2 linked regions of the Danio rerio genome follow. The protein of the gene in region 1 interacts with the protein of each later gene in a biochemical or structural test. Links are inferred from orthologs where the notes say so. Each region holds a gene or a part of one and is shown in the gene's direction. Other genes may lie near its edges. The genes, in order: gopc and crhr1.

What was found.
Region 2: the proteins of gopc (region 1) and crhr1 form a complex in vitro, tested with the Homo sapiens proteins (2 studies listed by BioGRID and IntAct, with this or other methods). The link is inferred for Danio rerio from reciprocal best matches to the Homo sapiens genes GOPC and CRHR1.

The regions. Positions count from the first base shown.
Region 1 is NC_133195.1:45,573,897-45,578,288, forward strand, and holds the end of gopc (Golgi-associated PDZ and coiled-coil motif-containing protein), read left to right. Parts: intron 1-82; coding exon 83-257; intron 258-2,951; coding exon 2,952-3,070; 3' UTR 3,071-3,688; downstream 3,689-4,392.
Region 2 is NC_133178.1:20,403,426-20,407,686, forward strand, and holds the start of crhr1 (corticotropin-releasing factor receptor 1), read left to right. Parts: upstream 1-1,287; 5' UTR 1,288-2,141; coding exon 2,142-2,165; intron 2,166-4,261.

The DNA.
Region 1 (4,392 bases):
CCTGAAATAATAAAAAGAATTGATTTGCATACATACACTGACACTTCGAGAAACTAACGCAGTTGTGTTTTTCTCTCTTCAGAGGGGAGAAATTGAGTTTGAGGTGGTTTATGTGGCTCCAGAAGTGGACTCAGATGATGAGAATGTGGAGTATGAAGACGACAGCGGGCACCGCTACCGTCTGTACCTGGACGAGCTGGAAGAGGCATCAGCAGCCAATCACAACAATGGCACTGCTGACCCCGCCTCCCTACAAGGCAAGTACACTGAATTGAAGGGGTAGTTCGTCCAAAAAAATTACATTTATATCATCATTTACTCACCCTTGACATGTTTGTCTTTATTTTTTTTTTATGAACACAAAAGAAGATATTTTAAGATAAACATGTAACCATTGACCTCCATACTATTTGTATTTCCTACTATGGAAGTCACAGGTTTTTAGCTTTCTACAAAATATCTTCTTTTGTGTTCAACAGAATAAAGAAAAAGTGGTTTGGAACAACTTGAGGGAAAGTAAATAGTGAGTACAGAGTAAATCCACGCAAGCTGTTAACCACCAAAATGAACAGCTTAGTAAATAGCCCTTTTACCGTCAGTCTAAGAAATAGACATTTTTATTTTATTTGACCAATTTCTTTGCTTGAATTGCGTTCCTGACACCACACTGAACAACATTTGCTTTTCTTTTAGCTTATAGCTCAACCAATCAATGGCTTCCAAGAACACAGAGAATGGACTCGCATTCTTATGGAGAGTGGTCTTGTCAAGTTACCTCGGTCTAGCACAGGACGTATCCTCTGAGAAATGAGATGTTGCGTTCTTCCAGATGGTCACATGACCTTCACGAATTTTATCTAAATTATTTCACGAAAATTATTTAAACATTACAGCATTCTTTTTTTTTTAATATTTATTTTGCCTTTATTTGACAGGACAGTATGTTGACAGAAAGTGAAGTGAGAGAGAGAGAGAGAGAGAGATGGATGGATGGATGGATGGATGGATGGATGGATGGACAGACGGACGGATGGATAGATGGATAGATTAAAGCAGTTTGAAAAAGATAGATAGATAGATGAAAGCAGTTTGAATATAGATGGATGGATGAAAGACAGATTGGAAAGACTGATAGACAGACATATAGATATCTATCTATCCATCTATCTATCTATCTATCTATCTATCTATCTATCTATCTATATATATATATATATATATATATATATATATATATATATATATATATATATATTTTTATATATATATATATATATATATATATATATATATATATATATATATATATATATATATATATATATTTCGGGAAAGTTCCTCGAGCTGGAATTCAAACTCGGGACGCCCGGAGTGCTGCTGCTAGGGGTGTGAACCTACACTGGTCTCACGGTCCGGTTAAGATTATCATGCTACGGTGGCCGGGAAGTGTAAAACAACATTACAAATTGTAAAACACTTTTACAAAGCTCAAGACAAATTTACATTTTGAAAAACATTTTACCTATCATCAGACACAATTACATAGGAAAAACTATTTTACCAAGGACGAAATAAATTAACATTTTTTTAAAAAAAATGAACAAGACGAAAAAACACTTTTACAAGTCCCGAAACTAATTTACAATTACAGATTCCTTATGGAAAGGTAATGTACCACACACTGGAAGTGACACACATATAAATGTGTCTGATGATAGGTAAAAAAAATTTTAAAATGTAAATTTGTCTCGAGCTTTGTATAAGTGTTTCACACTTTGTAATGTAGTTTTGCACTTCCTGGCCACCGTATCATGCCATCGATTCAGTTCAATTCGATATCTTGGTGCATCATGGTTCATTGACGATGCTTTTAATACACAATTAGATTTTTTTTAACACAAATGAAACATATTTTAGTACGAATTTCAGCAAATAAACACCCTTAATGTGTTTGTCTTTATTAAGATTTTCATGTTAAAGTTTACTTTCACCATCTCATATAGGGAAGTTATGTCTCTGCACTATAATAATAAACAGATATGAAATGCTGTACTTCTTATCTCCTTTCAAGAGTTCACACTTAGTTGATGATTGTTTATAAAGCTTGTTTGACTTGCTGTCCCGGGAGAGAGCCCTGAGCTCATAAGATCCTCGAGTCCAGGGTTCACTCCTGTTTGCAAGGCGAGAGGTTAGTTTGAGCTCAGGTAGATCTCGAGAACTCTTCTGCTGTAGATGCTAATGAACAGATAGTGTTTGCTCTTAAGAGATAACTACTTACTAGCAGCATGTCTAAGGTGCTGATTTGGAGTAGTCAATTAACTTAAGTTGCATGTTTTTGGACTGTGGGAGGAAACCGGGCACCTTGGAGAAACCCACGTGAGCTCGGGGACAAGGTGTAAACTCGGCACAGAAACGTTAGCTGGCATGGTAAGGACTAGAACCAGTGACGTTCTTGCTGTGAGGCAACAGTGCTAACCACTGGGCCACCGTGTCTAGGAAAGGAGGAGGAGTAGGGGTGGAAGGGGGTTTCTTCAAAACAAAGATGGCTGTTATATGGAACTTAGAGTGATTATAGAGGCTTAGGAATCGTCTGATTGGTGAATCATAAATTGGATAATGCAGGACCAGCCGCATGCAATCATAAGCACATGATCCTCTCGAAATTAGTTTATAAATAAACTTCACTTATTCAGCCACAATGAGTTCTGAGACTTCTCGAGCGAGTTCTACGATCAAGTCTGCATCAATGGGTCCTTGATATCCAAAACACATCCGGGTTCTTTCACACATCCTCCGTTCTTAAGTTTTTTAGAACTGAACTATGTGGATTGATGATGACTTTATATGAGAACACAATGCATATTGAGAAACAGCCATGGTCTGTTAAAGTAATCATTTAAAAAAAATGTAAAACCTTACTGTCCGCTTTTTTTTTTTTTGTATCCTTCCAGCTGTAGGGAAGCACTTAGTGAACAACAGAACAGAGAACGGAGACGTGGGCTTGTCCAGCGAATGCCCTTCAGACGACAAAACCTCCAAAACAGCAGAGTCTGCAGAGAGCTCATCCTAGACACTGAAAAACCCCCAGAAGAAAACGGCAGACATCAGTAAGAGATGAAGACTGAACATGTATAATATGTAACATATAGGAGATTCTTGGTTTTATTGCATATGGAGAACAGTCTGCTTTTACGTCCACTGGAGATTGAGGAACCACTGAGAAACACTGAGAGAAGAGGACATGATGGCACTCGGTGGATTATTATTATTTTTTGCTAATATTTGTCATCATTTTGGGTTATATAAAGGGACACAAAATGACCATCTGCGTTGGAGAGCGAGTAAATCGAGTTTATGGTATAACAATGTTGGATCCTTCTGTGTATCTTCCATAGATGAGCTCAAACTTTCACACTGTACTGAAGTAGATGGATATAGAATCGAGTTACTGTTTGCTCAGAATGTGTGTGTGTGTGTGTGTGTGTGTGTGTGTGTGTGTGTTTGTGTGTGAACATATGTTTCTAACCTCTTGATCGTGAGTCGATCCTGCTTGTTTGTCTTCTGATCTAAAGCGAAGGCAAACAGGATGATTTTACTTCCTGTTTTGCACACCGGGTGGTCAGTAGGTGACGGGGACAGAAACGAGTGTGTTGTATTAAACGTGCACATCCACATGTGCTTTCATTGGCTTGCTTTCTTTATTCAACAACACACTTTCAGGTTCAATTTAGCTGATTGAGGACGAGTTTTAGGGTGGATCTCAATGAAGTGATGTCTTGGACGTATTTTAAACTGAAGAATGTTATTATATTTACTAAAAATAATTTATGTTATATATATATATATATATATATATATATATATATATATATATATATATATATATATATATATATATATATATATATATATATATATATATATATATATATATAAACCTCCAATTGTATGTGTTTTAGGTATTATTTATTCATTGCAGGAGTCTTGACATGACTAAATTGGTAACACTTGACAATAACAGTACATGAATAATGATGTATTAATATATAAACTAAACATTACTTCATTATTCATAATGCGTGTTAATCGTTGACTTACTTTAACTACAACATGAGTCACATGAGTTCATGTGTGAATAACCGCTACTGTAATTACTTGTTAATGCATGATTGTTTGTTAATTAATGTATTTTTACCACATTAGTTTATGCCTAATTTAACCATCATGAACTATGTCCTGACTTTTCTTGGAGAGGCACATCATGATTAACCCATTCTTAACTACTCATGAACTCATTGTGCACGTCCATCTAGTGTGTTTACACTGAATAACAGTAGAAAAGTGGGTAACACTTTAGTTTAGGTCACAATTCATGCTATCAAGTACTTACTT
Region 2 (4,261 bases), on another chromosome or scaffold:
AATTTTAATAATGAAACACACGTTGAATCATCAGGCTGACCTCAGACAGCTTGTGGAGGGTCGTGCATTTTGAATCATTTCCTGTGTCTTTATAAAGCAACTAGAATGCAGACCTGCATTAATGCGATATGGAGAATGATTGAATATAGCCAGTTGTTCTTTTCGACACCTCTGTCTTGGACTTGCTGCGATTCCTGACCCTGAAAACAAATTTAAATCTAAAAAGGGGACAGTGTCTGGAAATACATGTGGAGGATTTGCTGTGCTGTCAGCTTTACATAAGAGTGGTAACAACAATACTGAAAACTAAAGTTCACCATGAGTTTAAGATGTAGTGTGTGTGTGTGTATACATATATGTTTTAGTGAAAAAAAAAGTATGTAACAAACCTAATTGATGCTATATTGTTTAGACAAAACTGTCCAGAATTTCTTTGCACTAGAAGGATCATTAGACGGAGAGCTGGATGGATCGAGAGATAAAAAGAGCTAAAGGATTATATGATTCCCTAGCGTTGCATAAAGTATAAAGCCAAAATAAGCACTTTTCGCCCTGGGGAAATGGGATGACAATTTTTTTCTAAATTACACTTATGCTAAATAACATACTTTTGCTTTGCATACTGACAAACAGATCGCATTCTCCAAAGCCATACAAAAGTGTGAATGTTCATGTTGAATGCACTGTCCATAAATGAGACAAAACCCCACCACTGTAGATAATGGCTCTCTTTCATACTGGAGGCACCTATTATTGAGACAAATTGGCATATCCTGTCACCTCTCATTCAAACATTTTAGAAAACCTTCAGATGAAACTTCATATTAAAGATTTGATATTATGTTTTATCTCTGCATGACAACCCATTCGCTTAAGACACAGTGAATGAGGGGTTATGCAACTCAATCAGTGCATCTATAATGCATTGACTGTAATCAATGTGCTAATTCAAACTTACTTCATGGCATTTTCTTTATTCAAACACTTTTTTAATCTCATGCAACCCAAATAGTTACAAAACAAAACTTTTAAATCTGTAAAAAAAAAAGAAAAAAAATCAGCGTACACCATTGCAAATTACCTTAAGGACAAATCTTTTACGCAAACATTACGGCATCAAAATGTTGATTTCACATCATAACTTTAGGATGAAAATAAGTGCCAGTGACGTAGACACATATCCATGTGTTTCAAATGCGCCCTGTTCCCTTCAGAGTCTACTCTCTTCGAGTGCTCCCCCTTTCAGACTGAACAGGGTGTAGTGATGCTCACTTTCGAATGGAATTCACTCATTATGAAGGCTGCTCGGTGTTGAGTCTCATGCCGCTGCGGAGCGCGCGCGCTAAACAGTGAACCGCCGGTTTGGTTAAAGACGCGCAGCCCGCGTGGGAACGGCACGGATTAGTTTGCACCGGCGAACTCCGCTCGCGCGTCAGCTAGACTTCTTACAGTTGTCACATTTTCTCTCGGACTACATTTTACCCGCACGCGCGCAAAATCTCAGCGTCTGTTCCTTTTATCCGCGCGCAGTGACGCCTCCTCGCTGTCATGTAGGGCTTCGTGTGAACGCTTTACCGTTGACCGATGGGACTCAAACAGAGGGTCAGTCAGTGCGAGGACGCAACGTGAAGAGGATCCGCCGTGTTAACAAGGAACGGATAATTTTGTAAACGAGATTAAAATTGTGGTAGTACTTTTGGAAAAGTTCAGTTCCAGCCGCAGGGGAGCAGGTCGAGACGCTTATCATATCTGGAAACACTGACTGGGTGTCGGGCGTGATTGGTGTCGTGATTGAAGCGCTTTACACCTGCCTCCCAGGACCTTAAGTAGTCAAACTCGACAGAAGATTGTTTATTGAGGATTAAGTGTCCACCGAATACCCCGAAACACAAGGATATGTCGCTTATATTAATAATAACTCCTCTGGAAGTGGGTGAAAATGAGGCAGCGATTCAAATGCGCGCATAATTCGCCCTGCTGATTTCCAGTTGTAAATGCTGCACTGATCATCCTCGGGGTGCAAATCTATTGTTTTTCGAGCAGAGGTCTGTCACCCCGGAGCAGAGCATCCGGACAGCTGCATCTGGAGCACGAGAGCGCTCTGCTGTTTGAAGGTTTCTGCAGAAAAACACACTGGAGCAATGAGTCGCATCCTCCATCCACAGGTACGACTATTATCCCATCAAAGCGTGTTTTAGCTTTACTGGAAACATGTTGTTTGTTATAAAAGCTACAAGAACTAAAACTCAAGAACATTTAATTGGTTAACTTTAATATGCTTATTAGTTAACTAGCTATGGTGTAAAAATGGTAGAAGACCGCATTGTGTTGTAAAACTATTGAAATTATGGGAGAAGAACATAAACATGTACATCATTATTATTAAAATCATGTTTATTGTTAAGTAGAGTTCCTAGAACCTTAAGTGCAAAGTGCCAGTGTGTTTTGGTCTCATTTAAAAAGTTAAATTGTTAATAGTTGTGCGTTCCGGTTTTTGTTGTGTCTTTAGTATTTGTAGCAATATTCTTTAATAGTGTGTTTTGTATTGTGTGAGTAACCCTGTGCTCTGTCACTTTGTTGTTGACAGTTACTATAGAATAGAGGTTAGTTTTTATTCAGCACATCGTGTTACTTTTCCATTGTATCACCCAACACCTGGGTTTGGTGCTAGCATCTTGTAAACAAAAAGATTTAATGCTTTAAGTATATTGGTATACTTACAGTCTAAATAATATATGCAGCTGTGAATATCATAAGTGACTGCAAAGCATTTTGTTCCTGGAAGTTGAACCAGATATTCAAAAACTTTTTTGTCGTTAAAACATTTCCAAATGTGTTTGGAATTTAATTAATTTCTTCTATTGAAAGTGACAGTATATTAAAAAGCTGTTTTTGTTCTAGTTTTACTGTGCTTTTTCTTTCACTTTTTTTTTTTTTTATCGCAGAGTAGCACTTAATGGGTGTCATTAAACTATTGCCTGACACTGAGATTTTAAGGGAAGCTGTGGAGGTAATTAATGACAATCCTTCCACGAGGGAGATCATTGCCAATGTGACTCAGCAGTGTGTGGGTGTGCTATTGAATTCTGTAGACAGTAAATACAAGCAGGGACAGGACACAATCCCCTGCCAGTCCTCAGCTGAGCTGCAAGACATTCTTTAAAGAATGTCAATTTCAGCTTATAATAGAAGCTTGGCACAGCATCACAAGCATATCATAGATTCGAAATAATGCGAAATGACATCACTTAAAGGTAAAGAGGAACAGAGCTGTTATTTTTAGCCTCAAATAGGATGCAGCGAGTTTATCAGTCTCTGCTCTGGACCGTGGCCCAGTCTGGCACCATTATGAAGTAATGCGCTGAAACTCTGACAGTCAAAACATACAAGCTTTCCGCTACCATTAATGTGCATTTTATCACTTTCAGCACTGTGGACAGCTGGAGCAGAGAGTGTTTTCCTCCGAAAAACCATTTGAGTGATGATTGATTTTATGAAAGTTTAGAAATACTGACTGAGTAAAGACACGGTAATGTGATTTTTGCTTTGCAGCTTTTCCAGAGTTGTGAAACGTCCCACGTGGCTGGCAGAGGTGCAGAAAAGCAATTAGGAATTCATACAAGCACTAATTGACTTATATTCATCTTTGCGTTGCATCAGCACATTGGTGAGCTTGCTGTGATCTGGCTGGGTATTTAAGTAAAGCGATATCTGCTTTTTACTCCTTAAACTGAAAGAATGATTCATTCCTGGTTTAGACAACATCAATTAAATTTTGCCACAATCCATCTGGGTGTTGTGGTGCTTTATAAACAACAATGGTAATTTTTCATAATTTAATCTTATATACAGTAATTTCCCAGTGGATGATAATCAGCGCTGTGCCTGCATCCTTTGATTTTATTAACATTTTTTTATTTAATTATTTTAATTAATAAAGACAGGGTTTTGTCTTATATGTGACAATGACCAAAAGGAGAAATTCTTCAGTTCTTCAAGATGACAAAATGAAAGACTGATGAAGTTATATGCGCACTTACTGTTGTTCACTTTCTTTTATTTCTGGTGGCTTTCCAATGGAGACATTGTGTGCTTATGCTCTAGTTTCAGGAAAACAATTGCTTGTCCCTCCTTCTCAATGACATCACACATGTAATTAAACGCAGTAACTAGTGATTGTTCAAAAAGTTACATCGTCGTCTGACATTACACATGCCATAAAAGATATCAAGCAGGGATTGTTCAGGAAATAAAGTACACT